4 linked regions of the Ovis aries genome follow. The protein of the gene in region 3 purifies or fractionates together with the protein of the main gene of each other region. This does not show direct contact. Links are inferred from orthologs where the notes say so. Each region holds a gene or a part of one and is shown on either strand. Other genes may lie near its edges. The genes, in order: ECI2, ECH1, MAPK6 and CEP170.

Evidence for each region.
Region 1: the proteins of MAPK6 (region 3) and ECI2 purify together in Homo sapiens (affinity purification with mass spectrometry; 3 studies listed by BioGRID and IntAct, with this or other methods). This does not show direct contact. The link is inferred for Ovis aries from reciprocal best matches to the Homo sapiens genes MAPK6 and ECI2.
Region 2: the proteins of MAPK6 (region 3) and ECH1 purify together in Homo sapiens (affinity purification with mass spectrometry; 3 studies listed by BioGRID and IntAct, with this or other methods). This does not show direct contact. The link is inferred for Ovis aries from reciprocal best matches to the Homo sapiens genes MAPK6 and ECH1.
Region 4: the proteins of MAPK6 (region 3) and CEP170 purify together in Homo sapiens (affinity purification with mass spectrometry; 3 studies listed by BioGRID and IntAct, with this or other methods). This does not show direct contact. The link is inferred for Ovis aries from reciprocal best matches to the Homo sapiens genes MAPK6 and CEP170.

What each region holds. Positions count from the first base shown.
Region 1 is NC_056073.1:49,166,592-49,173,785, reverse strand, and holds part of ECI2 (enoyl-CoA delta isomerase 2), read right to left. Parts: intron 5,544-7,194; coding exon 5,441-5,543; intron 4,743-5,440; coding exon 4,622-4,742; intron 68-4,621; coding exon 1-67. UniProt on the Homo sapiens protein: Able to isomerize both 3-cis and 3-trans double bonds into the 2-trans form in a range of enoyl-CoA species. Has a preference for 3-trans substrates.
Region 2 is NC_056067.1:47,918,269-47,925,926, forward strand, and holds the start of ECH1 (delta(3,5)-Delta(2,4)-dienoyl-CoA isomerase, mitochondrial), read right to left. Parts: upstream 4,701-7,658; 5' UTR 4,687-4,700; coding exon 4,635-4,686; intron 3,767-4,634; coding exon 3,565-3,766; intron 3,438-3,564; coding exon 3,349-3,437; intron 1-3,348. UniProt on the Homo sapiens protein: Isomerization of 3-trans,5-cis-dienoyl-CoA to 2-trans,4-trans-dienoyl-CoA.
Region 3 is NC_056060.1:56,515,953-56,523,848, reverse strand, and holds the start of MAPK6 (mitogen-activated protein kinase 6), read left to right. Parts: upstream 1-2,603; 5' UTR 2,604-2,751; intron 2,752-3,328; exon of another isoform or gene 3,329-4,945; intron 4,946-7,896. UniProt on the Homo sapiens protein: Atypical MAPK protein. Phosphorylates microtubule-associated protein 2 (MAP2) and MAPKAPK5.
Region 4 is NC_056065.1:33,149,281-33,157,189, reverse strand, and holds the start of CEP170 (centrosomal protein of 170 kDa), read right to left. Parts: upstream 5,152-7,909; 5' UTR 4,877-5,151; intron 4,566-4,876; exon of another isoform or gene 1-4,565. Other genes in the region: SDCCAG8 (serologically defined colon cancer antigen 8), read left to right, coding at 5,978-6,044.

The sequences.
Region 1 (7,194 bases), on a different chromosome or scaffold from region 3:
GGAAAGTGTAAGAGGAACAGCCTTCCGGACTCTGGCCCAGGTGACTGAATGGGGTGTGAAAGGTTGCCTTTTTGGAGAGAAAAAGAGAAAAGAAAATCATCTTTTCACATGTGATTTCAAAAACATCGCCATCTGTTTGTGTCCTCCTTACAATGCTTAATTGAAGTACTTTATCGTGTCACAGGCAGACCTCACTCCATTGACCTTTTGCTTTACTGTGCTTCACAGACTCTGCTTTTTTCTTTTTTAAAAAAAATAAATTGAAGGTTTGTGGCACCTTTGTATCAAGCAGGTCTATCCATGCCATTTTCCCAACAGTGCTATTTTCAAATTAAAATGTTTTTAAAACATTTAAAAATAGCTCATGGTTTTTCAGACACAATGCTATTTGCACTCTCAACAGACTACACTATAATGTAAACGTAACTTCTCAAAGCACCGGGAAATCAAAAAATTCCTTTGACTCACTTTATTGTGATATTTGCTTTATCCCGGTGGTCTTGAAGTGGACCCACAATATCTTCAAAGTGTGCCCATATACACACAAATTGACTCTCTGAACATACACAGTTTGATGAGTTTTAAACAAATGTATAGTCATGTAGCCACTACCATAGTCAAGATATAGAATATTTCTATTGCCCGTAGTGGTAACGAACTTGCCGGCAGGAGGCATAAGAGGCAGAGGCCCGATCCCTGGGTGGGGAAGATCCCCTGGAAAAGGGCATGGCACCGACTCCAGTGTTCTTGGCTGGAGAATCCCGTGGACAGAGGAGCCTGGTGAGCTCCGTGAGGTCGCAGGGTCAGACTGAGCACACAGCCTCGGGTTCCTCGTGCCCTTCCGCAGTAAGCCTGTTCCTCTCATGCCTGAGCCACCACCGATCCGGCTCTGTTCCTACAGTTTTGCCCTTTCTCAAATGTGTACAAATGGAATCGTGCATCCTGTACCCTCTCCTCCTTTTTCAGGCCTCTGTCCTTAGCAGAAGGCTCCTGGGTCTCCACGTTGCTGTCTCATGTACCAGGATTTTGCTCCTTCTTCTTTCTGAGCGGTACTGCATCCGATGGGTGTGTCAGGAGCCATCTATCCACTCACCAGTTGAAGCCATGGTGGCATTTCCAGTATTCTAGATATTGTAAGCTTATGATGAATGTCTATTTTCAACTCTCTTGGGTAAATACCCAGGCATGCAATTGCTGGGCTGTGTGGTAAATGTGTGGTTTAACTAAGAAGTTGCCAGACTATTTTCAGAGAGGCCGCACCATTTACCACCACCACCAGCAGTGTAAGTCCCAAATGCGCCAAGTCCTCCCTAAACCTTGTCATCAGCATCAGCCTTTTCAGAGTGTTGCCCACTCTCATAGGGGTGTCCTGGTGTCTTGGTGTGGTTTTAATCCCTTGGTGGCTCAGCGGTGAAGAATCCACCTACAATGTGGGAGACCTGGGTTCGACCCGTGGGTCAGGAAGATCCCCTGGAGATGGAAAAGGCAACCCACTCCAGTATTCTTGCCTGGGAAATCCCATGGACACAGGAGCCTGGCGGGCTACAGTCCATGGGGTCACAAAAGCATCACACATGACCGAGCAAGTAAACAACAATGACTAATGATGCTGAGCATCTTTTCACGTGTTTCTCAGCTATTTAGTGCCCTCTTGGGTGAAGGAATTTGCAATACTTTGCCCACTATTTTTAAGGTGGCTTGGTTATCTTTTTATTATTGAGCTGTAAGAGTTCTTTACATGTTCTGTTTACAAATCCTTTTCTTAATGGTGTCTTTCTCATATTTTCAAGAGCCAGTTATACTTTCTTTTCTGTGAGCCGTATTATTCCTCTCCAGCTTGTGTTTCTATATTACGTTGTTGATCCATCACTTTACTAATTCATTTTAAAAACTGTACTAGCAAGGTTGGCCTCTATTGCTGTTTTCTCAATTGTCTCGATTTTGCCCCAGAGGTTTTTGATTGGCTTTAAATACCCAAAACTACTTTAATATTGGTTATTTAGGCTACAGAGTCAGTCAGTTATTCGACTACAATAACTGTGTTTTCCGTGTTTTCCTAGATGTCAGAAATATTTTTGTGTTTCTTGATGAATGAAAAGTTCTTAGGAAATTAACTTATAATTTGACAATTCTGTAAACAGCATATTTAGACTTCATTTTCCATAATCCAGACATGGCTGAGGTTTTTTTCAATGAATACTGTTAGAAGATAAAAACATATGATGTGCAACACAGACAAGTCAAAATAATAAAAGTATAAAGAAAACAGATATTAAGGTCACCTGCCTTCTCTTTTGACCCCAAAAGAAAGCCTTTTGGAGAAAATGTGCTGAGAAGGAAGGAACATAATCAGGAAACAAAGAAGGAGCCAACCCTGGAAAGCGCCACAAACAGGTACACGGAAAGCGAAAGATCTGCGGCGTGTAACTCACTTATAAACATGATTATAAGCAACACTGAGCTAACTGTCAGGAATAAGAGCAATAGAGGCAGAGACGGTTAGATACGGCGTCAGGCTGCCTGGTGACCCTGGAGCTTCTTGACCTCTGTGCCACGGTTTTCTCATCTGTGAAATGGGGATGAGGGCCCCTGCCTCACGGGGCCGTTACTATGGGCACTTACTGAATACGTGTAATGGGCGTCAGCAGAGTGTCTCCTGTGGACTGACCACTCAGTTATCTAGTATTGTTATGACTTCCACCTTTTCATGAGCTCAAAGGGGAAATGTGCTGTTTGCTGATGGAGACACCAATAGACAGGCATGACCTACTGTCCATAATAAAGAATAATTGGTTATATGGGTTAAATGTTAACCCACGTTTAATATGGTATACATTCAAGAAGCCAGGAATGAACAGATCCTATAAAATCAATTCCTCTCCACAGCTTCTTTCTTCTGTGTCTTTCTCTGATTTGAAATTGAATCCTGGTTTAATTCAGTTGGGTGAACTCTCAGCGGTGGTCACTATTTGTCAAATATCTTACTGTGGGCCCAATCTGTCAGCATATATAATACACACACATTTCCCTCTGATTTCAATTTTAATTTAAGTTGTATCATAAGACGGAGTCCTGGGAATCTTTAAAAAGATGATGCCCGTGACAGTCACCTGGAATCTAGTGGGAGAATAAGATGGAAATATGACACTATCTGGCTTTCAAGTCCTACAGAAAGAGACCGCCAAGTTCAGGTCAGGAACTTCTGCTCTCACCCTGCTCAAAGCAGGTCAACTGATGGGTCATTTAACACACAGAATGGGACTGAAGACTGTGAATTTCTGCCTTTGGGCAGAAAGTTCTACCTACAAAGGTTAGGTAGCCAAGTGTCTAGAATTGCACTTGCTATTTTTACGGGGAAATTATTAATAAGTATTAGATCTGACAATATGCCCAATCAGATTGAAAGGAATCCAGTCAAAGATGGAGCAAGGAGTAAAGGACCCTTATAAATGGCCCTGTTACTGGAGAAGGTACCTCCAACAAAACCAGGAATCTCTTCAGCAGCAAAACCCAACTGTTCCCTGCAAGGATACGTGTACGTCAGCAAATTTCATTGCCACAAAAGCAAGAGTCACTCTAAGACTCTGATAACCCTAAGAGGTGGTTATTAGTTCTATAGGAGAAGTTCTAGGGTCAAAGCGCTAAGATAAATGTTTATCACATCTTTGTTTATAAGGAAAAAAACTAGACATGCTAGGGTTCCAGTGTCAGGGACTGGTTAAATTAGGTAAGCTAAATAACCCAAATGTTAGCACTGCTCATCTCTGAGTGGGGAGAGGAGTGATTTTATTTTTTAAAAATGTTTAGCATTTATCTACCTGGCCACAGCAGGTTTAGTGGTGGCATGCAGGCTCTGCACTGTGGCACGAGGGGTCTTTAGCTGTGGCATGCAAACTCTTGCTTGGCACGTGGGGTCCAGTTCCCTGACCAAGGGTGGACCTGGGCCCCCTGCATTGGGAGTGTAGGGTCTTCGCCACTGGACCACTAGGGAAGTCCCAAGGAGTGATTTTTAAATCAGTTGTTTTCCTTGTACTTTTCCATATTTTCCAAATTTTTATTTTCTGCTATGACATACATTACTACTACGGTAGGAACTGAAGTGCAAATCTATGTAATTCAATGGTGAGCACGAGGCAGTAACTTCTCTGAGCTTCGGTTTTCTTATCTGCTAAGGGGGGAGTGAAAGTAGATGCCGCCTGAAAGTCCTTTCTCAGTCTAGATTTCTAGACTCCAGGGTTCACTCACATTGAAAAAAAATGATCAGATAACTCACTTGCATAACCTTCAAAGCTGCTCTGTTTTTTTTCACCCGTGCTTTCAAGTCTGAAGGTCTCCCAACTATTTTAGAGCAAAGTTGAATGAGTCTTGCATCAAAGGCTGAGAGTAAACAGAACCAAAAGGGCTGGGACGATGCTGGAGACAACACTGGTGTTTAGGAAAACTCAGGTTAATAGTGAAGGAAGACCCGTCAAAGACGACTAATTCTTTGGGGAAAATGTAACTTTCATCCCTTCTAACCCCGACCGCATGCCCTCTGTTTACTATCGGCAACGCCAAAGCAGCCTTTGGAGGAGCGTGTCTTCACCAGCCTGACATCACTCGCTTCTGCCGGCGGACTTACCCGGTCGGTCGCGTACACGACATCAAACAGCCCGAGGATGGTGACGGAGATCCCCACGGCCGGACCGTTGACCACGGCCACCAGAGGCTTCGGGAAGTCTATGAAACAGTTGACGAAATCCCTGCAGACACGGCAACAGACAAGCGTGTTGAGCTGTTTGCAACAGCTTCACCGAGGTACAAGCGGGGCCGGGGGCCGGAACGCGCTTCTCTGGGGGGAGCTGGGGACGTTTCCACCTCCGGGCGCCTCCCTGGCCTGCAGCCTGCGATTCACCCAGGCCCCGTCTGCAGGACACTGGAGGGGTGCCTGCAGGGGCCCCGCGGCCGGCCTCAGTTCAGATCCTGCGTCCTGGGCCTTCCGTCAGGGCCGTGAGCCAGCGGCCACCTCGGAGTCGGCACGGGCCGCGGGGTGCCAGCGTGCTGGGCAGCAGGGTGCTGGGCAGCAGGGTGCTGGGCAGCAGGGTGCTGGGCAGCAGGGTGCTGGGCAGCAGGGCCCGTCTCCAGCCCCCTGCGCGCAGCGGGCCGGGCAGCGAGGCGCCCCCAGCCCGGGAGCCTCGGTGCGGCGGCGGCGGTGCTGTCGCCAAGTCGTGAGCGCCACGGCCTCGACGCGGAGACCCGAGCGCGCGCCGGGAGCGGGCGGCCGGGCCCTGGGCGGCTCCGTGCGGAGCGCCCAGGGGAACGGGAGTCACCGCGAGGAGCCAGACGCCCTTCCGGATGGCGGCGGGACAAGCACAGCCGACCGCAGGGAGCCCGGGTCTCTCCTTCCCGCAAGCTCAGACCCTGATGAACGGGCGAGCGCCCGGGGCAGCCGGCGCCTCACCTCAGGAGGACCGCGCTGCTCCGGGCCATCTCCTCCGGGCCGCCGGCCGGCAGGCTCGTGAAGTTGGTCAGGTCGTTCCCGCTGCAGAAGTAGTCCCCGCTGCCTGCGAACACAAGCACGGCGCCACTCCCGCGCCCGCGCCGGGCGCCTCCCGCGCCGCGTTCGGCGAGGGCACCGAGAGCCCGCGGCGCGCCCGCGCCCGCTGACCGGCGGCCGCCGCATTAAGCACACGCGGACGAACCAACGCGGCCGCAGCGGGGCTCGGGGAGGGGCTTTGCCGAGGCGGGGACAAGGGCACTGAGGCCTGCAGGGCGGACTGCGGAGGGGGGACAGGGGCGGGAACAGGGCGGGGTGTTCTCCGTAGCTGACAGCGCGTGTGAGGCTCTGGGGCGGGTCACCCGGCTCGATGGGCCCAGAGAGGCACCATCACAAATGGATGCGTTCAGCCTGCTCTTCTCGGTCCAAGACAGGTAAGTTAGAAGGGAAAGCAGAATTTAGGGAATCTACATGACATGAATTAGAAAGGCAAGTTTAATCGACATAATTATAACTCTACACCTTAACAATCTAGAGTGAATTTACTTTTAATTCTTAAAATTTTAAAATTTAAACATTTATTGTTATTACTTGACCAGGCTGTGTGGCCTATGGGATCTTAGTTTCCCTGACCACGGATTGAATCTGTGTGCCTGGCATTGGGACCAGGGAGGGAGTGGACCACCAAGGATGTCCCTGAAGTTACTTTTTAAGTGTTTCTGGATGATATAAAAAAAAATTAGTCATTTTTTTGCTTCTTAATCTTCAAGGTAGATATTTCAATATACATCTAGTATACATGAAATTTTAACAGATTCTAAAAAAAATCAGAAAAACTGATCATCTCTGATTATAAGCTAGGAATTGATAACAGAACTGCAAAACAAACAAAAATCCTTTCTGAAAACGGAAGGACCTATTATTACAATGCTTAGATGAAAAGAATAGGAAACCAAAGCGAAGGGTATATAGAAAATAACTAAGGAACAAGCATGTGAGCTAAGTCATGTCTGACTCTCTGTGACTCGTTGGACTGTAGCCCACTAGGCTCCTCTGTCTCTGGAGAGTCTCCAGGCAGGAATACTGGAGTGAGTTGCCATGCCCTCCTGGAGGGGATCTTGCTAATCCAGAGGTCGAACCGGTATCTCTTATGTCTCCTGCACTGGCAGGCAGGTTCTTACCACTAGCGCCACCTGGGAAGCCCAGAGAATAAGCACTATTTCTCAGCACTTAATCTTTCGGTTTTCTTACTTGTAAAATACTAGTAATAATAGGGCCTAATCTCATAGAGTTATTGCAAGAAAGCTTAGAAGAGTTACAAATTAAGAAAGCCACCAAACAGATTAAAATGCTTAGCCCAGTGCTCAGCAAATATGAAGTATGATACGCTTGTTGGCCGTTATGACCAGTTATTGTGAAACTCAGCAGTTTCACTTCTACAACAAGGATATCTTTGCACATTTACTGAAAGATGGATGTCTGAGGATATTCCTTGCAGCATGATTTTAATAGCAAAAGAATAAGTACAATCCACCTGTTCACTGGCAGAGGAATGATGACATAAATTATGGGGTCCTGAAACTTTCATACTTCGCAGTCCTGCAGAGGAAAACTTAGATGTGCAGGTGCTGACTGAGAACAAATTTTCAGGACATGCAGTTAGGACAGAAAGGTGGGTGTAGTATGTGTGTGTTATGTGCGTCGTCTTCTGTTTATAA
Region 2 (7,658 bases), on a different chromosome or scaffold from region 3:
TGGGGCTGCAAGGATTCAAGAGACAGAGCTCATGGCGCTTTGAGCAGTGCCTGGCATGTAATGGCATCACAATAGTTCCTATTATTATACACTCCATCTCTGCCAAGGCCAGAACCGCCTGCATCAGTCTGCAGGCATCTGCTGGCTTCTATACCAGGTCTGAGAAGCTTGTATGACTCAGTGGGAACCACGCTTACTCCCAGAACAAACTCAGCTCGGCAACTTGCGACACCTCCTCCCACTGGCTTTGCTGGTTTATCTGCCCTACTTGGATATTCAGACATGGGTGGTTGTCTGCAACCCCTTGGAATAAAGGGCCCCAGCTTATGGCACGAGGTCTTTTCCCTCCAGAGCCAGAACTTGTTTTTGAGGAGTCTCCCATCTCGCTCCCTGGGAACCTCTAAATGTTTCAGATCTCATTCATCGTCACAATTAAGTTATTCATCATCATCAAGAATAACAGCTACATCAATAAAAGTTTCACATGAGTTAACATTTGGTGCCTGTTAACTCGTTTAATCCTTGATGCAACCAGATGAGGGGGGTGATGAGTTGCTAAGTTGTGTCCAACTCTTTGCCACCCCATGGACTGTAGCCTGCCAGGCTCCTCTGTCTGTGGGATTTCTCAGGCAAGAATACTGGAGTGGGTTGCCATGTCCTTCTCCAGGAGATCTTCCCGACACAGGGATCAAACCTGTGTCTCCTGCTTGGCAGGTGGATTCTTTACCACTGCACCCATGGGTGCTCATAGCATCTCCACTGTCTTCAGATCAGAGGCTCACAGAGAGGTGAAGGTGTGTAGAGGTGGCAGGTGGCTGGTTACTGGGCCAGGAATACTCTGAATCAGCTTGCCACACATCTGGGCCATAGTCACTCAGTGGTGAAGGGCAAGGATTCTGCAGCCAGGCAGCCCACATTCAAAAATCCAAACAGTGAGGACTGGATACACTTCTTGCTCTCTGTGGGTCTCAGTTTCCTCCTCTATCAAATGGGGATGATGACTGAGCTTGTCTCATAGGGCTGTGGTGAGAATTAATTAACATGTGTAAAGTGCTTAGAGACACTCCACAAATGTAAATAAGTCTGGACTGGTTTTTTTTTTTTTAATTAGCAGTTTCATTCAATCTTTAAAACTGCTAATTAAACTGAATGTCTTCTTTCTGGCCTTTAGGTTGAAAATGGGACGAAATGGGCACAATCAACTAAGAGCTGAAAGATGAGGACCTCTGGCCTGGCACAGCTAGAGATGAACCCTCATCCTGTCCTATTTCAAGGCTGGTGTCACCCAGGAAGCGGGCTGACACTGGAGTGATGTCGCTGAATGTTGAATGGATGAACAAAGAAATGAAGGAGAACAGAAAAAGGAAACAAGGGACAGGCGAAAATGTTACAGAGGAACAGAAAGAACAAGGGCACAGAAGGAAAGAGAGGAAACACAAAGAAGTACATTGTTTAATGTCCAGTCTTCCCCACTGAATGAGGGGCAGGGCCTGGGGCTATCTCAGTCACCGCCGGGTACCCAGCACTGGGCTGGGCCCTGTGCAGAAATCAGTGTATGTGACCCTTCACTTCTGGCATGGAGCCTCCCACAGATGCCAACTATGTGCCCTAGGTGAACAAGGTCCAATTACCTGAGGGCACCAAGCAGATTCTTCTAGAAGGAACCAGCCAAGTGAGTTACCTGGTTTTTTTTTTATTTAACCTGAGTACAGGGTGAAGTTGTGCCTGAAGAACCACAGGACAGAGCCCAGGGGGACCTCAACTGATGGAAAATGAGGGGGGGAAAATTCCAGAAAGCAGACAGCCAGAGAGGGGAGCCCCAGATTCTGTGTATGAGCTCTGCCCAAATGTCTATAACAAGAGATCCCATGAACCAGACCTACAGCCCAGCAAAGAGATTTAAAAACTGATATCAACTTAGCTGCTAAAACAGGAAATTCAGCACTATGGAATTATGTAATAGGATCTAGAATTTCCACATCATTTTCTCCCATAGTCCAACATCCAGGATACATGCAATCCAACCTTACTCCAAAAACAAAGAAACAGGAAAATGAGACCCTTTTTTTTTTTTTTTTTCAAGAGAAAAGGTAATAAACAGAGATTGACCCCCAAGGCGGCCCCGATGTTGGGATCAGGAGACAGGATTTTAAAACAGCCATTGTAACCATGCTGAATGACACAAAGAAAAATATGATTGCGACGAATAAAAAGATATGAAACTTCAGCAGAAGAATGGAAACTATATAAAAAAAAGTGGAATCTACGATATAGGCATATCTCATGGTACTGCGCTCTGCAATATTGGGTTTTTTACACCTTGAAATTAAAAAAAAAATCACTAGATGGGTTTAACAGCAGAAGAGAGATGACAAAGGAGATGATGAACCTGATAGATGGAAATTATCCAACCTGAAGAATAGACTTGTGGGACAATCAAAAGACCCAACAGACAGAAAATCAGTTCATGTAGGTTCAAAATTAATTGCACAAAAGCATGTATTTAAGAAAAAAAGGTTTTGGCCACTTCATGTGCAGCTGGCGATCTTAGTTCGCCAACCAGGGACTGAGCCTGGGCCCCTGCAGTGAAAGCACCAAATCCTAACACTGGACTGACTGATAGGGAAATCCCCAGAAAGCATGTAATTATCACAACACATTTTATTGACACACACAAAAAAGACTGAGAGGTCAAGGGCCTTGATCAAGGCCATAGATTCAGCTTGAAAACCCAGACTTTAGAGCCCGTGATCCTGTCTTTTGTTGGACTAATTTCTACATTTGAAAATGATTTAAGTAGACCTTCCCCAAGTAAGAGCTTCCCTGGTGGCTCAGACGGTAAAGCGTCTGTCTACAATGTGGGAGACCTGGCTTTGATCCCTGGGTCGGGAAGATTCCCTGGAGAAGGAAATGGCAACCCACTCCAGTATTCTTGCCTAGAAAATCCCATGGACAGAGGAGCCTGGTCTCCATGGGGTTGCAAAGAGTCGGACACGACTGAGTGACTTCACTTTCTTTCACTTTCCCCAAGTAAAAGGTGGCGCTAGTGGTAAAGAACCTGCCTGCCAATGCAGGAGACATGAGACATGGGTTCGATCTCTGGGTCAGGAAGATCCCCTGGAGAAGGGCACAGCCACTCACTCCAGTATTCTTTCCTGGAGAATCCCCATGGACAGAGGAGCCTGGTGGGCTACAGTCCATGGGTTGCAAAGAGTCGGACAACTGAAGCGACTTAGCATGCATACAAAGCAGAATTTAGAAGCTGCTTAAAACCCTAATTATGAAGCATTATTCTATTCCCAGGAGCAGGGGAGACTGGCAGGGGTGGGTGTGGAGAGCAGCTGGTACCTGAAGTGAACATTTTTCCTGCACCAGAGATCACCACCACACGACAGTCAGAGTCTTCTGCAATCTTGTTGAAGCATACCACCATCTCTCTGCGGAGGGGGAAAGGAGGAAGGGCTGTGTCGGGGTGGGAATCCCCTGCCCTCAGGCCCTCCCCTGCCCAGTCCCTCAGCCCCTGCCTCCTCGTGCAGGCAGGCCTCCAGGATCTGCAGGCCAGACCTCCAGAAGGCCTTGTTCATGGCATTTCTCTTCTCAGGCCGGTTTAGTTGCACATGCAGAACATGTTTCTGGGCAGCTGTCACCCGAAGGGACTCATAGCTGTGGCCTGGGGCTTCCTCTGGGGATGCTTCGGAGGCTTCCTCTTGTGCAGAGGCACTCATTGGGCGAAGGCTGAGACCCAGGTTGGTGGAGGCTGTCAGTCCTGGGGAGACAGAGGTAGGAAGTGCCTTTGATGACCCTGAATATGGGGCACAGCACCTTCAAGGGCAGAGGGTACACATCTCAGTTGACACTAGGTTGGGGGACACACGCCTATGAGAGGCCTTGGTTTAGGGGATATAGACTTTAAGATGGGCTTCCCTAGTGGCTCACTCGGTAAAGAATCTGCCTGCAATGCAGGAGGACTGGGTTCCACCGCCTTGATTAGGAAGATCCCCTGGAAAAGAAAATGGCAACCCACTCCTGTTTTCTTGCCTGGGAAATCCCATGGACAGAGGAGCCTGGAAGGCTACAGTCCATGGTGTCACAAGAGCCAGATGCCATGGAGTGACTAAAGCACCACCACCCCCACCAGAGTTTAAGATTCAGGTGCATTTATCAGTGGCCTCAGTCTGAGGATCACTTCAGACCCACGATTGTGGTGCACGCTAAGTTGCTTCAGTCGTGTCTGACTCTTTGCAATCCCTCTGGGCCATAGCCCGTTAGGCTCCTCTGTCCATGGGATTCTCAAGGCAAGAATACTGGAGTGGGTTGCTGTGCCCTTCTTCAGGGGATCTTCCCGACCCGGGAATTGAACCCGCGTCTTTTAGTCTCCTGCATTGGCAGGCAGGTTCTTACCACTAGCGCCACCCAGAAAGCCCTGTGATCGTGGTACTCACTCCAGACTGAGTACACTGAGCTTGTCAGCGGCCCAACTGTAAGCCAGAAGCCCTCTGGATGGGGGCACATAGACCCGTGAGTTTAATAAGGGGTTCGAACCCTGGGTGACCCTGGACAGGCCTCTCCGTCCAGCTGTCGCGATGACAGGACGACAGCTCAACGGACCCCTTAAAGATCAAGAGGTGACTTACGCCGGGTAAGCAAGTCGCCGAATCGCCGAAAAGCCGCAAACGCTGCCGCCATTGCTACTGACTGGTGGTGTAACGCGACGGGAGTAAGCTTATGGGGGCGGGGACAAGAGGCCGCCATACTTGGTGAGGGCATCGAAGCCGCAGGCTGACGGCGGAGACGGTTCCCCTTTCCGCCATCTTTATCAAGGGCAACCGGAAACAGTCTTCTAAATTCGCGGCCATTAGAGTGATTTGACATGAAACCTTTAATCCACTAGGAACCTGGCCTAAGAAAATAGTTCACACTGCTTTTGAACATTCTGTACAAAGTTCATCACAGCTGTTTCATAAAGGAGAAACTGGAGACAACTGAATGTCCACGGGCATAATGGCGAAATAACTGCCGACCTCCCAAGTTTGCAATCATGCCTTTGTACCATAGCCGGGAGAAATATCAATAACCTCAGATATGCAGATGACACCACCCTTATGGCAGAAAGTGAAGAGGAACTAAAAAGCTTCTTGATGAAAGTGAAAGAGGAGAGTGAAAAAATTGGCTTTAAGCTTAACGTTCAGAAAACTAAGATCATGGCATCTGGTCCCATCACTTCATGGCAAATAGATGGGGAAACAGTGGAAACAGTGTCAGGCTTTTTCTGGGGCTCCAAAATCACTGCAGATGGTGATTGCAGCCATGAAATTAAAAGACGCTTACTCCTTGGAAGAAAAGTTATGACCAACCTAGATAGTGTATTCAAAAGCAGAGACATTACTTTGCCAACATAGGTCCGTCTAGTCAAGGCTATGGTTTTTCCAGTGGTCATGTATGGATGTGAGAGTTGGACTGTGAAGAAGGCTGAGCACCGAAGAATTGATGCTTTTGAACTGTGGTGTTGGAGAAGACTCTTGAGAGTCCCTTGGACTGGAAGGAGGTCCAACCAGTCCATCCTAAAGGAGATCAGTCCTGGGTGTTCATTGGAAGGACTGGTGCTGAAGCTGAAGCTCCAATACTTTGGCCACCTCAGGTGAAGAGTTGACTCATTGGAAAAGACCCTGATGCTGGGAGGGATTGGGGGCAGGAGAAGGGGACAACAGAGGATGAGATGGCTGGATGGCATCACTGACTCGATGGATGTGAGTCTGAGTGAACTCCAGGAGTTGGTGATGGACAGGGAGGCCTGGCGTGCTGCAATTCATGGGGTCGCGAAGAGTTGGACACGACTGAGAGACTTAACTAAAAAGGAAAAAATAGTTCCCACCAAAGTTATCCACATAATGGAATGTGAATACAGACGGCCCAACGTTAAACTCTGTGTAATCTGAGTTGCCCCACCACACCCAAAGAACCCGGTTCTCCTGCACTGCAGGAGTTCCTTACTGACTGAGCCACCAGGGAAGCCCATCTTCACGTCTGTCTCCCTAAACCAAGGCCCCTCGTAGGCTGCTGGGGGCGGGGGTCTTACTGTTACATCTACCTCCTCACTTGCTCCAGGTCTATTTTACATTTGTATGCAGAAGAAACTGGCTGGGGAGAAGTCACTAGTTCAAGATCTCTGAGCTTCAGGAGTGCTAGAGGGGATTTATATGTACAGTAAGTACACGTTGAAACTTTCTTTCAAAAGTAAAATGACTTTGGAAAAAGCTAGTTAACCCTAGAGTATTAAAAAACAAAGCAAAACTGGGGCTTCCCTGGGGGTCCAGTGGTAAAGAATCCGCCCTGCTATGCAAGGGACAGGTTGGATCAGTGGTGAGGTTAGATTCCACACGCTATGGAGCAACCAAGCCCCTGGGCCACTATTTCTGAGCCAGCACTCTAAAGCCTGTTTTTTTTTTTTTTTTTAAGTGCTATTGAAGTGCTTAAGTATGCTCTTGTAGGAGGTGAACAGGTGTCCCTGACACATGGGACTGAAATGAATATTTTGCTGTCTTTCTCCTCTTTTGGCTGCACCCTTGACTTGCTAGCTAAGTCCCATTTTGCCTTCTTCACATGTCAGATGGTAAAGCTCTTTTGGAAGACAGAACTGTTTGGTTATCTGGAACTACTAAGCAAGTACCAAGATTTGAGAGAAATTTAAAGAGGTAGTACATTTAGTTAGGTTGGTATAAAAAGACAGTTGTGAAACAATTGAAGGCAGAAGGGGGTTGACAGGACGAGATGATTGGATGGCATCACTGACTCAATGGACGTGGGTCTGAGTAAACTTATGCACAGGCTACCTAGGAAATATAACGTGGGATGAAAGCTGAGTGCCCCTGGGAGTCAGAGTAGGTAAATTTACTTTTTACCCAAGTAGCTTAAAACCTAGTAGATTGTGTAAGTTATGGCTGCCAAGTGACTGTAGTTTCTTTGTTTAGAGGTTCTCTTAAGTTTCAACCCTGATGAAGCAGTTTATCTGATGTCACTTGACTTCAGTAGATACTGTTTAAAAACTCTACAGGAAAACCCCAAAGTGGTGATACACATCCAAGTGGGGGATACACATATGCGAGGCACTAGACTTTGTTCCCACTCACTGCTATCAGGGAATATCAACAGTAATTGAACATACCCTTTAATCCAGCAATTCCACTGCTAGGAATTTACTTCTAGATCAGTATCAGAGAAGTTGCTTAAGAAGTTTGTGTAAAGATACACATCACAGTACTGTTTGCAAAACCAAATAAACGGAAATTACCTTCAGGACCAAGTAAACTATGACACATCCACACATTAGGAGTAAAGATAAGAAGGCTGCCTCGCATGTGATAGGAGATCGCTGTACAGTACAATGCATTCTGTTACAAGACACACAAATTGGAAAACTTCCCTTGTAGACAAAAAAAACAGACTCAGAATTCCCAGCATCATCCCCAAGCCACAGCTCTGGCCCACACTGCTCCTCGGAGCTGGGTCCGTCCCTCTGGAGGCTGCAGCTGTTCCTAGCCATCCTGCCCGCCTTCAGAAGACTGAGTGGGAGGAAGCAGACACACCCCAGAATCCCAGAAAGTGACCTTTATTTTCCAAACAATTTTATTGAAATGTGCCAAGAGTACATGGGCAGCACA
Region 3 (7,896 bases):
TCTTTGCAACCCCACAGACTGCAGGATGCCAGGTTTCCCTGTCCTTCACCATCTCCAGGAGTTTGCTCAAACTCATGTCCGCTGAGTTGGTGATGACATCCAACCATCTCATCCTCTGTCGTCCCCTTCTCCTCCTGCCTTCAATGTTTCCCAGCATCCGGGTCTTTTCTAATGAGTCAGTTCTTCGAGTTAAGTGACCAAAGTATTAGAGTTTCAGCTTTAGCATTAGTCCTTCCAATGAATATTCAGAGTTGATTTCCTTTAGGGTTAACTGGTTTGCTCTTCTTGTAGTTCAAATATTATATCACAAAATGTAGTCCTATCTCAAACATGCTTTCAGGAGAAGGCAATGGCACCCCACTCCAGTGCTCTTGCCTGGAGACTCCCATGGATGGTGGAGCCTGGTAGGCTGCAGTGCATGGGGTCGCTAAGAGTCGGATACGACTGAGCGACTTCACTTTCACTTTTCACTTTCATGCACTGGAGAAGGAAATGGCAACCCCCTCCAGCCTTCTTGCCTGGAGAATGCCAGGGATGGAGGAGCCTGGTAGGCTGCCGTCTATGGGGTCACATGACTGAAGCGACTTAGCAGCAGCAGTAGCAGCAAAAATGCTTTCACTGAAAGACCTGTTTTTAACCCAAATTCTCTGAAGCTATCCTACCCTTGACCTCTTTCTCTAAGATGCTACTAAAACTCTGTCAACAAATTTGGCTTTGCTTGATCAACAGGTTATTTCGGTGGTCTTTGACACATTATAAGCTCCCTAAGGGAAAGCATAGCGCTTCTTATTTATTCTCTACCCTCTCCTCATCACTGCAGATCGTGATGCACTTGCTCCTTGGAGGGAAAGTTACGACCAACCTAGACAGCATATTAAAAAGCAGAGACATCACTTTGCCAACAAAGGTCCATTTAGTCAAGGCTGTGGTTTTTCCAATAGTCATATATGGATGTGAGAGTTGGGACTATGAAGAAAGCTGAGTGCCAAAGAATTGATCCTTTTGAACTGTGGTGTTGGAGAAGACTCAGTCCCTTGGACTGCAAGGAGATCCAACCAGTCCATCCTAAAGGAGATCAGTCCTGGGTGTTCATTGGAAGGACTGATGTTGAAGCTGAAACTCCAATGCTTTGGTCACCTGATGCAGAGAGCTGACTCATTTGAAAAGACCCTGATGCTGGGAAAGATTGAGGGCAGGAGGAGAAGGGGATGACAGAGGATGAGATGGTTGGATGGCATCACCAACACAACGGACATGGGTTTGGGTGGACTCTGGCAGTTGGTGATGGACAGGGAGGCCTGGCGTGCTGCGGTTCATGGGGTCGCAGAGAAGGACACTACTGAGCGACTGAACTGAACTGAACCCTCTCCTCCTGATGTTCAAACACTGATGGATGGGGGAAGAAAGGTGTCATGAATTTCAGGGGAGCTCCAACAGGCAGAGCAGGGATGTACAGTAGTCAAAGAGGAGCTCTTGTTGTAGAAAAGCGGCATTCACAAATAAGAAATCCTGTGGTTTGGACAACTCTTCCCTTTTTCTTGGTTTCATCTACTCATTGCGTCCTCTTCACACCTGCTATTCAGATGGTATTACTTTTAATATAAAAAAATATAAACCATTCAAACTCCATCCCACTCACTTAACTGCAAGCTAGTATGTGAGCTTTGAAGTGGTCTTTGCCTCCAGCTTGAGGATACGCATAATAATAGATACCGGGTTGCCAAACCTTTGGTTCTCACCAGGAATGGTGATTCGGTCCCTGAAAAAAATATGTTGACCTGTGTCTCTAATTTAATACCTACTACATTTCACATAAATACTGGAAGGCTTCCTGGATTGAATCAGCCATACTAAAATGAATAAATAAATAAGCTTTTTTTTTTTTTGTCCTAGTGGGCCCAAGAGGGTACCAATCTACATTTCCCACTTACCTCGCTGTACACTCTGGTCCAAATTCTACGCTTCCCTCAGACTGGCTTAGTCCCAGCTCCTGCAACAAGCCAGGTGCTCCCCTCCTCCACGTTGTGGCTCATTCTGTTCCCTCCGCAGGAACAGCCCCCCTCCTCCGCCAGGCCATCTCCTCTAGTTTCAAGGGCTCCTTCTCATTTAGCTGAAAGGTCAGCGGTGGCAACCTCATTTAGAAGCCTGCCTTAGCACTTGACCTTTAACGCGTTTGCCTTCTTCCTTGGCTGTTGCTTTCTAGCCCATCCATCTTCGGGTCCAGCTTCCTAATTCCCAGGGGATGGGGAAGTCTTGCTCCTCTAGGCCGTCCAGTCCCATGCACGTAGTAGGTGTGCAGTAAACGCTCACAAAGAGTTTGACCACCATGTGCTCTAACGCTGGGGCAAGTAGCAGAGCGAAGAGAGCCTGTCTGTTCACCTCCTTGCCAGCTCCCTAGCCCAGCCCAGCGCATCCAACCGGAGGCGGGGGACAAGCCCGCGTACTTCTCTTGCCGCCCCCGCGGCGCGCGGAGCCCAGTCCCGGGCGTTGGAAATTCCGGCGCGTGCCGGCGCGCTGGGCCGGGCGGGGGCGGGGGAACCCGTGGAGTGAGCCTGTGACGTACGGGGGCGTGGCTCCAGAGCCTCCGCCCCCTCTTCCTCGCCCTCTCTCGCGGGTCGGGGTTACATGGCGGCGACTGCGGCAAAGCGAGAGCCTCGGAGACGCCGCTGCCGCCAGCACAGCCGGAGACCTGAGCCGACACTGGGGGCTGTCCGTGGGCCCTGCACTCCCTCGATGAGTCGGAGAAGTCCGGTAGGTATATGTGTGTGCGTGTGCGGGGCGCGCCGGCGGGGCGGCTCAGGAGGGCGCCGCGGCGGGCCCGGCGGCTGAGCCGGCTCTCTCCTCCATTGTGTGTGACCCTCCGGCGGCCGTCGCTCAACAAAGGCGCTTTTGTTCCGTCTCCCGCCCGCCCTCGGCCCGCCCGCCGGCTCGCTCTCTCGGGCCTGGCCGGCGCGTCCTCCCGCGGGCCGCCGGCGGCGGGCCGGGGTCCCCGCGTGGGGCCGGCAGAGCGGCCGGCGCGCCCCTCCCACCCGGCACGCCCCTCGCGGGCCGGGGTGCCGGGCCCGGCGGTGCGCGCCGGCCTCGGGCCAGGCTTGCCGGCTGCCTGCCGACCGCTTACGTCTGGCTCCGCAGGTTCGAAACCCGGCCCGGCCGGCGGCGGGCTGACGCGGGGCGGCGGCCGGGAGGGGCTACTCGCCTCAGCAGCGTGAGGTGGCGCGGAGTCTAGCCTTCCTGGCACGCCGCCTTTCGAAATGCTCCCGCGTCTCCTCCCCCATCCCACTCCGGTGACTCGGCCTCAGCTGACTCCGGCCGGGCAAAGTCTCCCAGTGCACAAGGCACATTGCGTAGCGCGCCGCTCACTCGACTCGGCGCGGAGCCCCGAAGTCCTCTGCCCGAGTTGAATCTGGCCGCTAAGGAGGTACAGAAAAACTCCAAATCGGAATTCCTAATTTCTTCCCCCTCCCTCTACTACAGTCTTGTCTGAGCTGCGTTCGGGACGCGCGCAGCGGTGGTGGTCCGTGAAAGTCCCCAAATGAAAACTTGTTTTGTCTGTTCACAGAAAAAGGGCTTCCTCGCTTCTCGGTGCATATTTCTCTGATTTGGTGAGGCTCGTTGATAAGTAAGGATTTTTTTGGCCGCTTTTTGTTCCTTAATTGGTAAGATTGGTTCAGGTGTTAGGTGGGAGCGCTCCGAAGCAGGATCTTTTCGATTCCTTTCCTTTTTGTTTCTACCTTTGCTCGCTCATTGGGAAAGGTCCACTAACGTGAGGTACTGCATTTGCAGCACAATTCGTGTTCTTTTCCTTCATCGCTAAAAATGCCCTCCAAAGTCAGTCTGAGTATTTTTTTTTTTTTTTTTTACAGATACAAGATGATTTATCAAGGGAAAGAAAAATTAACAGGGGACAAAATAGAGCGATAACAGCTTCAGAGTAGTTTTCCGATTGTTTAAGTCGTCTAGCCTTGTTATTTTTTAAAGCTCTGATGGGACGCATCCTCTCTCTTGAACGTTGGGGAACTGAAATGGAAAGAGTAGTCTAATTAGAAGGTTGAAGGGATCAAACAGGACTGGGCCCTGAAAGGAAATTGCCTCTAGAGTTTCTTCTTAGAATGTCAGATATTTATGTTTGAAATAGGCTTGCTAATCGGTGGCAGAGACTTTACATTTCTTGAATGGGTAGTTGTTCCGACATGTTTAGGAAGGGCTTGCTATGTGCCAAGGAGCAGAGAGTCCTTTCACATCACTGAGTAAGAATTGCCTTGTGAAACTTGTAAAATTGCTTATTGGTGTCCTGAATTCAAGAATTGCAGTCGTCTAGGAAATATACCAGATTTGAGCAGGACGTGTTTTAATCACCTAAGAATTACTGTTAGAAAAAGAGCTCTGGGAAATGAAGGATTATTTATAAAAACCTTTATCTATGACCATATTTTGTAGTTCAGTTATTTGCGAAAGAGGATTAAAAATGTTTGCTACTTTCTGTGATTAAGAAAGAATCCAGAGAAGATTGATTTGAAGATCAGTTAATTTGCGATAGAAAAAGTATATGTTCTAATGACAAATGTTAGTACTAAAAGTGTTGCAGCATTTTGCATAAGTTCGTTTAAACATCGTGAGAATTCATAACAGAAAATAGTAAGGTTTGCTGACTCAGGGTACATTGCTGAGGGGATGGGGTCGGGTAGGAGGAAGCTTCGAAGTGCTGCAAGTTTTGAGTTGGGTGATGACTCATCCTGCCCACGGACTGCTACGTGGCCCTTTTTTTTTTTATACACTGTATTTTTTTTTTTAATGATAGGCTAAAATGCTCCTGTCTACATTATAATTCTCTCTCACACAGAGGAGCCACAGATTCTCTAAAAAAGTAATGGCTTCTAAAATTGCATTTTAAAGGGATATCATATATTCTGCAGGTGGAATTTGGTAACATTTGTTGAAAAGAAAGGTAAAATTAATTGCTAGTCAGTTGGGGCAATGAAATATTTGATCCTATGGGTTGGCCAAAAAGTACGTTTGGGTTTTCCTGTAAAATGTTAGGTGAAAACCGGAGGGAACTTTTTGGCCAATGCCACAGCAGTTCCTTGGCTGTTGATGAGAGAGATTTCTTATGGATTTTTTTTACAGATAGTACTTTTATGGTATAGATAGAAATTAACCATTTTGTTTTCATTGGTAATGTAAAAGTTAACTTTGTACTATCTAGAATTTAGTTTGTATTGTAAAAGTACAGCAGTGTTTAATCAGATACAGCTCTGAACATGAGCATTTCACTCTGGTGGAATTATATATAGTGCTTTCTCCTTTTTTCTAATCTATATTAATTTAATAGACTGTAATATATAATAATTTAGTTTAAAAGTTAAAATAGGTATTGTTATAGGCACTATTTTTTCATCAGTCCTTTTGGATTTACATTGAAATTTGGTAATAAAATATTTTGACTGATTGTAGAAAGCCATTGTTTAGCAGGTTGGCCTAAAATAAGATTGAGAAAAAAGGGGATTGAGAATAACAATGTGTTTTAAAAGTGAGAAGAAAAACTCGCCACTCTCATATTTTTCTTTGTATATACTATTTATCTTCTCAGTGATTTATTTGAATGGTTTTATGGGCAGTAAAGTGTATTAATGTGAATTAAGTCTTTGAAGAGATTTTGGAAGAACATTGCATGATTTATAGAGGGGAACTTTAGTAAAGTTTAATTCAAACTTTATACTTCCTACTAAAGCAAATATAAAAATACAAGTATGAAAGTATTAGAGACTTTCAAAAGCCTTCTAGAGGTTGAACATGTATTTCCAGTGTGTGTTTGTGTTTTAAGAATGTAGGTAATTACCTGTCATGCTTAATTCAGAATTTATAAACTGGTTATGTTAGTCTGTCTTCCTTCTGTGAGGTATTGACTTATGAAATGATGATGAGCCTCCCTGTTGCTATACAGTTCTGAGTTTGCATTGCCCACTTGAATTCTATGTTACTTTAGGGCCCCTGTTAAAATAGAACATGCCTCAGTAGTAAATTCTTTGTAGCATTGTTGGCTTCCTACTGTCAGCTCCTTCAGCCTGATTTGTGGGCTGTTAACATTACCCTATAGCCTGCTAGAGATATGGAGATTTTGGTTGGTTTTATTGCTCAGTCCTGATTGAGACTTTACAAAAACAAAAATGTTATTGTAGTTACTGTTTTTTTTTTCCCCCCTTGGGAGTTGCTTTTCATGTGGAACTGATGCCTTTAATAGTGGCATGGGCAGAGTCCACCAATGTTTCTTTTCCTTCTGAACTGCATATTTGGAAAGTGTAGTGTATCCCCTTTGATATGTTTTAAAAGGTTTATCTTACATAACATGTCCACCTTTTAAATCCATTTCTGAAAAAGTATACAGAGATTGCAGCAAATGACATTTTCCCATTGATTTTCATTTAAATTTGATGTCTTTTTCATAGGGGAAAAAAAATTTTAATTCAGGAAAGAGACTGTCTCTTCAGAATGTGAGAAATCTATGTGCATTTAATTCTGTACAACCATAAAACTATAAAATGTTAGTTTTTACAGAGGGGTCCTGGACATTTTATCTTCCCCCAGGTACATCATTTGACTGCTCAAGAAACTGAGGCCCAGAGTGATCTAAAATCTTGGTACAGGTGATTTCTGAACCAGTAGTATTAGCATCATTTGGGAGTTAAATGCAGAATCCTGACCCCATCTCAAGACTTATTTAGAAGCTACAGTTTAACTAGATTCTCAAGTGATTCAAACACATGTTCATTTCTGGAAACACTGCTAAGTGATGCATATGTAAGTTGCTCCGCTGGTTAGTGACTGACTTGGAAAACTCAGGTCTTCTGAGTGGCTCTTTCCATTGACTCTCCTGAAAAACATCAAAAGGAAGATTGAGAATCTAATCACTGTCCAGTAGAACTTTCTGTGACGATAGAAGTATTAGTATTTTACTCTGTGTTGTCCAGTGAGATAATCACTAGCCACGTGACAATTGAGCATTTGACAGGTGGCTAGTATACCCAAGGAACTGAATTTTTAATTATATGTATTTCTAATTAATTTATGCTTCACTGCATGAAGTTAGTGGCTACTGTATTGGACAGCACATATTTAGATGATCTTTGCCCACATTAAGTTTAAAATTATTTAAGCTGTAATTTAATAACTGATTAGGCTTAATTTGGGATTCCCTGATGGCTCAGATGGTCAAGAGTCTGCCTGCAATGTGGGAGGCCTGGGTTCAATCCCTGGATTGGGAAGATCCCCTGGAGAAGGAAATGGCAACCCACTCCAGTATTCTTGCCTGGAAAATCCCATGGATGGAGGAGCCTTGTGGGCAACAGTCCATGAGGTCGCAACAAAGTCGGACAGGATTAAGCAACTTCACTTCCCTTAGACTTAATTTAATAATTTCCTCCTAATTTACAAATTGGAGTGATGGTAGGTTTCTAACTACCTACACCCCTAGAATGCCTAGGTATTAGTTGTTATTATAAAGCAATGCCAATTTTCTGATATACTCCTGTGTTCAATAGTATAGATAATCTAAGCTGCAAGAATATCTATTTCCCCATTTGTCTCAATCACTTGGATTTAAAAATATTAAAAATAACCTGTTAGGGACTTCTCTGGTGGTCCAGTGGCTGAGACTCCACACTCCCAGTGCAGGGGCCTGGGTTCAATCCCTAGTCAGGAAACGAGATCCCACATGCCCCAACTAAGGGTATGCATGCCACAACTGAAAATCCCAAAGGCTGTGACTAAGACCTGGTTTGGCCAAGTAAGTAAATATTTAAAATAAATAACCTGTTAAGTAAATGTTCCTCAATTATCTTATGGATAGCATTGAGGGGACAGTTTTTACCTCTGGCGTAATATCTCCAGGTCATTTGGCAG
Region 4 (7,909 bases), on a different chromosome or scaffold from region 3:
AGACAAATTTTTCTAAGAAACAGAATGGGAAATAACAGAAGGCCAACTTTTTATTGTTTATTTAAGAACACGAAAACAAAACCGAAAGATTAATATCAAAAGAAACTTACTACCTATCAACATTATCATTTCATAAAAAAAGGTCATTTTAACACCAGAAAAATAGAAATACAGAATATAAAAAAGAAAATAATCCCTTGAATTGGATAAATATAACTTGAAAAGCCACATAGCATTTTTCTGCTTAGAACTGGTAAGATATTACTGTTGCTGGAGTTAACACAATTTTAGACTGTAAACACAACTGAATGGCTGGAATTAAGGAAAGGGATAATTTCACTACACTGCGTTCAGACCACAACTGCAGAACTAAATGTGGAAGCAGAATCAGAACAGAAAAGAACAGCACTGACGAAACTGACTGACAGCTATCTAGTGATAGAGATGAGGAAGGTAAAGGAAACTGCATCATGTGAAGTTGCAGAGGTTGCAGATTTAACTTAGAAAAGGGAAAACCTGGCAGAGAACCACTATATTGAGAAAAACCTTACTGTATCTCACAAAAGAACTATACCCAATAGAATAACTTACATAGGAAAGCAGATGCTAGCTCAGTTTAAATAAGGGCTTTCTATTATAATTTTCAAAAGCCAAATTAGCCATCCTATGGCTGTTTGTTCTTGGAAGTGTTGCTCATGGAGAAGGTGGGCTCAGTAAGATCTCAGGGATTAGTAATAAATGGCACATCGTTTGAGATGACTTCTAAAGTCTCCTCTGATTCTAAAATAATGTGAATTAGGAGGAAATGAATGTTATTTTTTTAAACTTACTGAAAAAAGATGAATGAAAACAATTTTGGCTTCAGTCAAAAAGACAAAGGTTCAGTTAATAGGCTTTACCACTGAGTAATGAATCACACAGAGGCAAAATTATTCACTAACTCAGGACCTCAAGTATTTTCAACTTTAAGTATAAAATAATACCTTACTTATACAAGGTTGCATGAATTACACAGAGACACACAAAATGCCTGGCACTTCGTAGGTACTCAATACACAGTAAGTATTACTCATTGCCTGGAGAATCCCATGAAAAGAGGAGCCTGGCAGGCTATAGTCCACGGGTTGCAGAGTCAGGACACAACTGAACAGCTAAGCACACACATACGTTACTCATGTATTCAGTAAATATTATGTTCCAAAGGGTAGTATTTTCTATATTATTTGTTAGCCACCAATACACTTAAATAATAACTTGTTCTCTGCTGTGTTTTGTTTTCTGTTTTTCAAACCTATGCAATGCATGCTTGGAATTCAATTCTATGTCTATGCCTCGAATAACCTCTATTGGATGAAAGAAATTTCTATAACCTTGGTTTTGTTGGTTTCCTTTCTACCTCTGAATAGGAGTGGGGTTTACTTTAGTACATACCAGCTATGTCATTCATTTTGCCCAAGAAATATAATATACTGTTGCACAATCATTTCAACTAAACTGGACTATATATCCAATTTAATCAAGCATACTAGAGGGCAAGGAGATCAAACCAGTCAATCCTAAAGGAAATCAGTTCTGAATACTCACTAGAAGGACTGATGCTGAAATTGAAGTTCCAATACTCTGGATACCTGATTCGAAGAGCTAAATCATTGGAAAAGACTCTGATGCTGGGAAAGATGGAGGGCAGGAGGAGAAGAGGCCGACAGAGGATGAGATGGTTGGATGGCATCACCAACTCAATGGACATGAGTTTGAACAAACTCCGGGAGATAGTGAAGGACAGGGAAGCCTGGCATGCTGCAGTCCATACAGTCTCAAAGAGTCAGACATGACTTAGCAACCAAACAACAACTACTGACAGATGTTTTCTTACTCTTTTAGACGGCCTACACTGGCTACTCATTGCTGAGCACTTCCCTCGAGAAATATTTGAGTAAATAAAGACCCATTTCACCAAGGGTAGTTATTAGAAATCTTAGTTATTAACAAAAGTTTATGAAATATAAATAGTCTGAGGTTTCTCCCCATTAGAGGAAACTCATTTTTTACTGAAACACATAACACTTAATGCTTCAGTCAATAATATTTATCCACCAAATTTTTTTCAGACAGTATGCAATTCTTTTTTATATACTTGCAGAATAATTCACAACTATACAGATATTTCAGTTGGCAGTTTAATATCATGCTGTCTGTTAAGATATTTATAAGGACAGTATACTGGTTATCCCCCCAATGTTCATGATAAAGAAGAAAAGAAAATCACTACACATTAATTAAAATACCAAGTTATTTACCAAGTTATTTTTCAGGGACAGAATTTTGTTGAGTAAAAACCATACTGACAACAAGTTTAAACATTTACAGTATTTAGTACTAGATGAGTGACAGCTGGTCACTATCAGATGCAACAATAAAACTAGTTTCGGGAGGCTTTTGGGTTTTTTTTAAGAGATAAAAGGAAACAAGAAACTGATACTTGGAACAAATAAAACAAATCCTTAAGCAATAGGGTTTTTTAAATCACCTAGATATTCATACTAATTGACACTATGTATGATAATTTTATAGCGTAAATTTGAAAAGCATGCAGAGTTATTTACTTCCATAATAAAGTAATTTTAGCACATCATTAAATTTAAAAGTAGAATACATTTCAAGTTTGATTTAATTCCACATGATGAATTTAATTACAGATTATTTTTAAGTAAGACGAAATTTAAGAGACATACTAATTCTCTTTTAAAAGTCTATCAAAATACAATGTAGAACTAAAGGATTAAAAAGTATAAGACAATAAAACCACTTTCTGGCAAAATCAACTGAATAAAAGAGCATAATTTTAATTAAAAAGTTCAATGTGAATTTTCTTCCCTCAAACAGTAAGCTCTTGTTTAACTTGAATATAACAAAATTCACTGAATTTAAGAACGATGAACTTCATGAGCTCCTATAACAGTTTATAGAGTTGATCATACTATAAAATAGTATTGAATAGCAAAAGATAACATTAAAATATGGTTACTAATATGAAGTAGGGGGAAAATTCCAACAGTTTCTGTTTTTACGAAAAGCCCACTTTAAGGCATCTTTTCCTGTATCAGAAAGTTAACTTATAAAACTAAAGTTCCTCTTCATTAGTATTGCTTTTACATCAAAAGAAAAAGACTAGATAATACGACTATGAGGTATTAATAAACTTGACTGTCACAGACAAAGAGCATGCAGAAAAGCATTCCACAATTTTGACAGGGTAGGGGGACTAAGGGACACAGATGAAATAGCACATTGGAAAAAAGACCTTGGTTTTATCTGACTCTGCCTTTCATTAGCAGTTGGGCTTGGACAGACAAATCAGTTGACTTTCCAAGTTTTAATATCTTCCTCTGTCTCTGTCAAGTGCATTTAGATTTTTCAGTTTTAAAACAAAAAAAAAATTCTACAAAATTTATAAAGTTAGGAAAAAGTAAAAGCAGCACTGGTTTTACTATTTAAAGAAACTGCAGAAAAATACAAAATGGTTTGTAACGTGCAATGTAGTATTTCCAGAGTAGAATTCCTATATCATTGCACATGCCCCGCTAAGGTTATATTAGTGAAGATCTGGATACTGTATTCATAATGTAACTCTCTCCTTTCACATCATTCCTCCACCGGGTCCTCCCCTTCCTGCTTCAATCTCTTTTGCTGGTTTTAATGCCAGCAAACGACTGTATGCACTGTAAGCTTAACAATAAAATCATTTTAAGCAATGCATTTTCAATCAAGTGCATCATCTACTTCACTAAATTTCTCCCAAGCGGGTAAATTTTCATTAAGAGAATAAAAACATGCATTTAAAAATTCAGAAACAGAAATGTACCAGGCCTATTTTTAATTCTGAGTGCTTAAAAAACAAAACGGAAAGATGTATCCTACCCTATTCCCTTAGGAACGTGAATGCGTTACCCACCCAATGAAAAAACATTCTGCTTGTTCATCTTCCTGCTACACAAACAGCTTTGTCGTCAGGCCCTTCCTAGTCCTTTCTTCATCGTGATCTAGTAATTTTACATGGATCACCTTGGCAATGCTTGGACAGGCACTGTCCCTGTCTTCCTGGAGCTTACATTTTCAAAAAAAAAAACTCCGCTAAACACTAAAAAAAAAAACAAAAGCCCAGAGATTTTATGACTTAGGATCCAAATCCCACATCTTCCCGCCCCTGGTTAGGCAGCTGCTAATTCTTCTTCCCCTGGCAATGAGGGGACCCATACCAAAGCCCACATTTGAATCTCAGGACAATGAAGTCGACAGGAAGCCACTCTCTCCTCCCCCGGGTTACTACGGAGCCACAGCCTGCGCGGGTGCTGTGGCCCGGCGGGCTGAGTGACACCACATCTTCCACGCCCTCCCACCACGTCCAAAACGCTCTTCGCCAGACCTCTCCATACCGCCCCACACCCCAAAACCAACCACACAAAAAGGGTCGACACCGGGAGCTGCTCAGACCGGGAAAAACCCCTTCTCCAGCTGCAGCGCAGCCATTCCCTCCACTGCTCCGCCCGCACCCCTGCAAACAGCTCGGGCGGAGGGGGCTGCACAAAGCCAGGACAGCCAAAGACGACTCAATACGTGGACACTAGCAGGGGAAGCCGGGCCGCTGGACCAGGGGACGCGGGGTTGGGGTGGGGGGTGGGGGGGGACTCTGGGGGGATGGGCGTCCCCGCCGAGTCCCAGGTCCGGGGGAGGGGGCGGCGCGCGGAGCCTCGGGGAAGCGCCCCTCGCCGCTGGCCCTCACCCTCGCCCGCTGCGGGCCGCGCCCGAGCCCCCGCTGCAAACCCGAGGAGCAGGGTGTGGAAAGGCGGCGGCGACGGCATCAGAGCGCATCACTTACCCCTCACTGCTGAGAGGCACCGGACGGGGGGGCGGGGCGCGCCGCGTCCCGTGAGTCTTTCGCAAGCGTCCTCCCCCACCCTGTCGTCGTCGCCGCCGCCGCCGCTGTCGAGCTCTGGGCCCCTCGGCGCTGCTGGGCAATAACGTTATTCCACACACGCTCCGCACATAGCGGTAACGGCAAGGAGCGGCCGCTCAGTGCGCAGGCGCCTGGGGAGAGGGCGAGGAGCCCGGCCCTACCCCTTCTCCGGCCCAGTCCCGGCGAACTCCTACTGCGCAGGCGCCGAGCACAGACAATGAAAAGGAGTTGTGCGGAGGGTCTCAACCACAGGCCTTTCCAGCTGCTGACTGCGCAGGCGTACGCCGAAGACCTGCTTCAACAATGAACAGGACCCGGGCTTTAGCTGGGACCGCAACGGGCTGGGACTACAGTTCCCAGCGGGCAGTGCGCCAACACTAAGCTGCTGTCGGGTCGCTGGGCTTGATAAGATTGCGTGTCAGCCGCTTTCACGATCTACGCCGTTTGGGAAATTCAGAGCTTCTTTTTCCTGAAAATTTATTTAGCAGTGTTGAGAGATGTTGAGGCTGAAGGGTGTAGGAGCTCGTTATTTGCGTTCTTGAGAATCCTCAAGAATCAACTGCATATTAGTGAATTTAGAAGAATAAATAAAGCCTTTCAACGAGCCCTTTCTGTCAGTTAGGTGGTCCAGACAGTAGGATGGGATGAAGGCAGGACTAAGCCTGACTAGGCTACAGAAATGGGCGGAGCCTCCAAGCAGTCTCTTGGCAACCGGATCTGGTCGCCAAACCGCCAGAGCGTGAGCTTCGAGCGCGTTGCCCTCTGGGAATTGTAGTCTTTGGGCGGGTTCGTAGGAACTTCGAGACTGTAGACTTAGACACTGAGGACTACAGCTTCCGACGTCCACCACGAGGCCCCGAGGGTGGAAAAAGGCCCGAAATCTCCGGGATTCCTTGATCCCCTGTGACAGCAGCTGCAGGAAGCAGGCGGGCGCATCCTAGGGGCTGAGGCCTCTTATTCTTGGAGGGGAGGACACTGGACACTTCCGCACGCAACACCCATCTCTGGCCCCCGAGTGTGTGCATGGCGAAGTCCCCGGAGAACTCTACCCTGGAGGAGATTCTGGGGCAGTGTCAACGTAGTCTCCGGGGTGAGTTTCTCCGAACCTCTGTGCCCTAGCTCCTTGATACCGGGACCTCGTGGCTGGGAGTTGACCTGGTGCGATTCTTGACACCTTGGTCCAGCCTTTGCCAGACTGCAGAGAAAGAAGATGGATGTTGCTGTGGAAGGATTAAATAGTTGTGTTTGTTTTTACGTTTAAGCAGCGTTGTTTCCCTTGATTCCCATAGTGACCTGAACCAACTCCCTGATTGTCTTGGGCATCTTTTTTACCCGAGGCCCGCAGAAACTCTTGGATGGCTATATGCCTGTTCTGTCCAGCTCTCATACCTCTCTTTATAATCCAGTAAATTCCTGATGCTCTCTTTACACATTCATATTATGTGTAAAATTGAATGTGGTTTATTGGACCCGGGGCAGGGGAGGGGGGTCGGGTGACCACTAATAATTATTTTAATCGCAACAGCTTCTATTTAGTGGTCTAGGCTATTTACATATATTAAATCACTTAAAACTTACAACCTTATGACTGTCCTTCTACACATGGGGAAATAGAGGTCGAAAAGGTTAAGTTAGGCCAAAGCCAACATAGCTGGTTAGTGGAAGAGCCAGGTATTAAATTCAGTTAGACTTGTCTGCCTTGAAACCCTGTTTGTCTTTATTAATCATGTCTCAGTTACTATTACTGAAACTTTATTTAGTTAATTCAGATTTTCTTACTATAGTACCCAATGAGTAGCATAAGAAAATCTGAATTAACTAAAGTTTCACTAATAGTAATCGTGATATCATTAATAAAAGTGACGTAGATAGTCTATCATCTTGAACATCCCATATAACATCTAGAAAACCTCATTTCTCTTATTTTAAGGTAGAAGTTATGATATTATCTACATGGTTCTTGTGAGGAGCAAATGAAATAATTCAAATAAAGCAGTGATTCTTCAGACTTTTTGTTAACTCTTAGCCGTAAGTAAAAATATATTTTATATGAGTCATATATATAGGCTAGGGGCTTCCCAGGTGACTTAGTGGTAAAGAACTTGCCTGCCAATGCATAATACACAGGAGACAGGAGTTCAATACCTGGGTGGGAATGGTTCCCTGGAGGAGGAAATGGCAACCCAGTTTTCTTGCCTGGGAAATCTCAAGGACAGAGGAGTTTGGCGGGCTACAATCCATACAGTCGCAAAGAGTTGGCCACGACTTAACCACTGAGCATGCGCGCATGCATACAGACTAAAACAAAAGTTTCATTAAAGAATATTTATTCTACTAGAAGTAATTCACTCCACTTTCTGTTCCTTTGCCTTTTCTTAACCCTTTAGGTCATGACCAACAGCTTTACAAATATTTAAAGCATTTAAAACGTTGACTCATTCATTAATTTAGTGCCTACTATGCATTAGACATACCACATGCTGAGAATATCATAAGGAACTACACAAAGTGACTGTCCTCAGGAAGATTTTGGATTAATGCAGTGAAGGACAGTAAAATAGCTACAGATTATCACGATTAAAAAAAGAAGAAGGGTAAAGATCAGTACTTGACACATAAGCCCTTGTTAAATGTTAGCTGTAATTTATAATTGGTACTTGTGGCAAAGTGAAGATTTTTTGAGGGGATAAGAGACTTGAATCTAGTGAGTCTAGACTTTGAAAGGTTATTACCTATTGTTTCCATCTGTCAGCAGTGTTATAAACTGTCAACATTCTCAGTATTCTAACTGCAAGAGTAAAATCACTAGTCTGGATGAACATCTTCATCAGCCTACTGATGTTTCAAGAGGTGTTAGATACAGAAATAACCACTTCTAACTTTTCATTTGAAAACAAGAAAATACTGTGCAGAATGATAGTACCAGTGGCATTTAATTTTTGAGGTTGGTTAAAA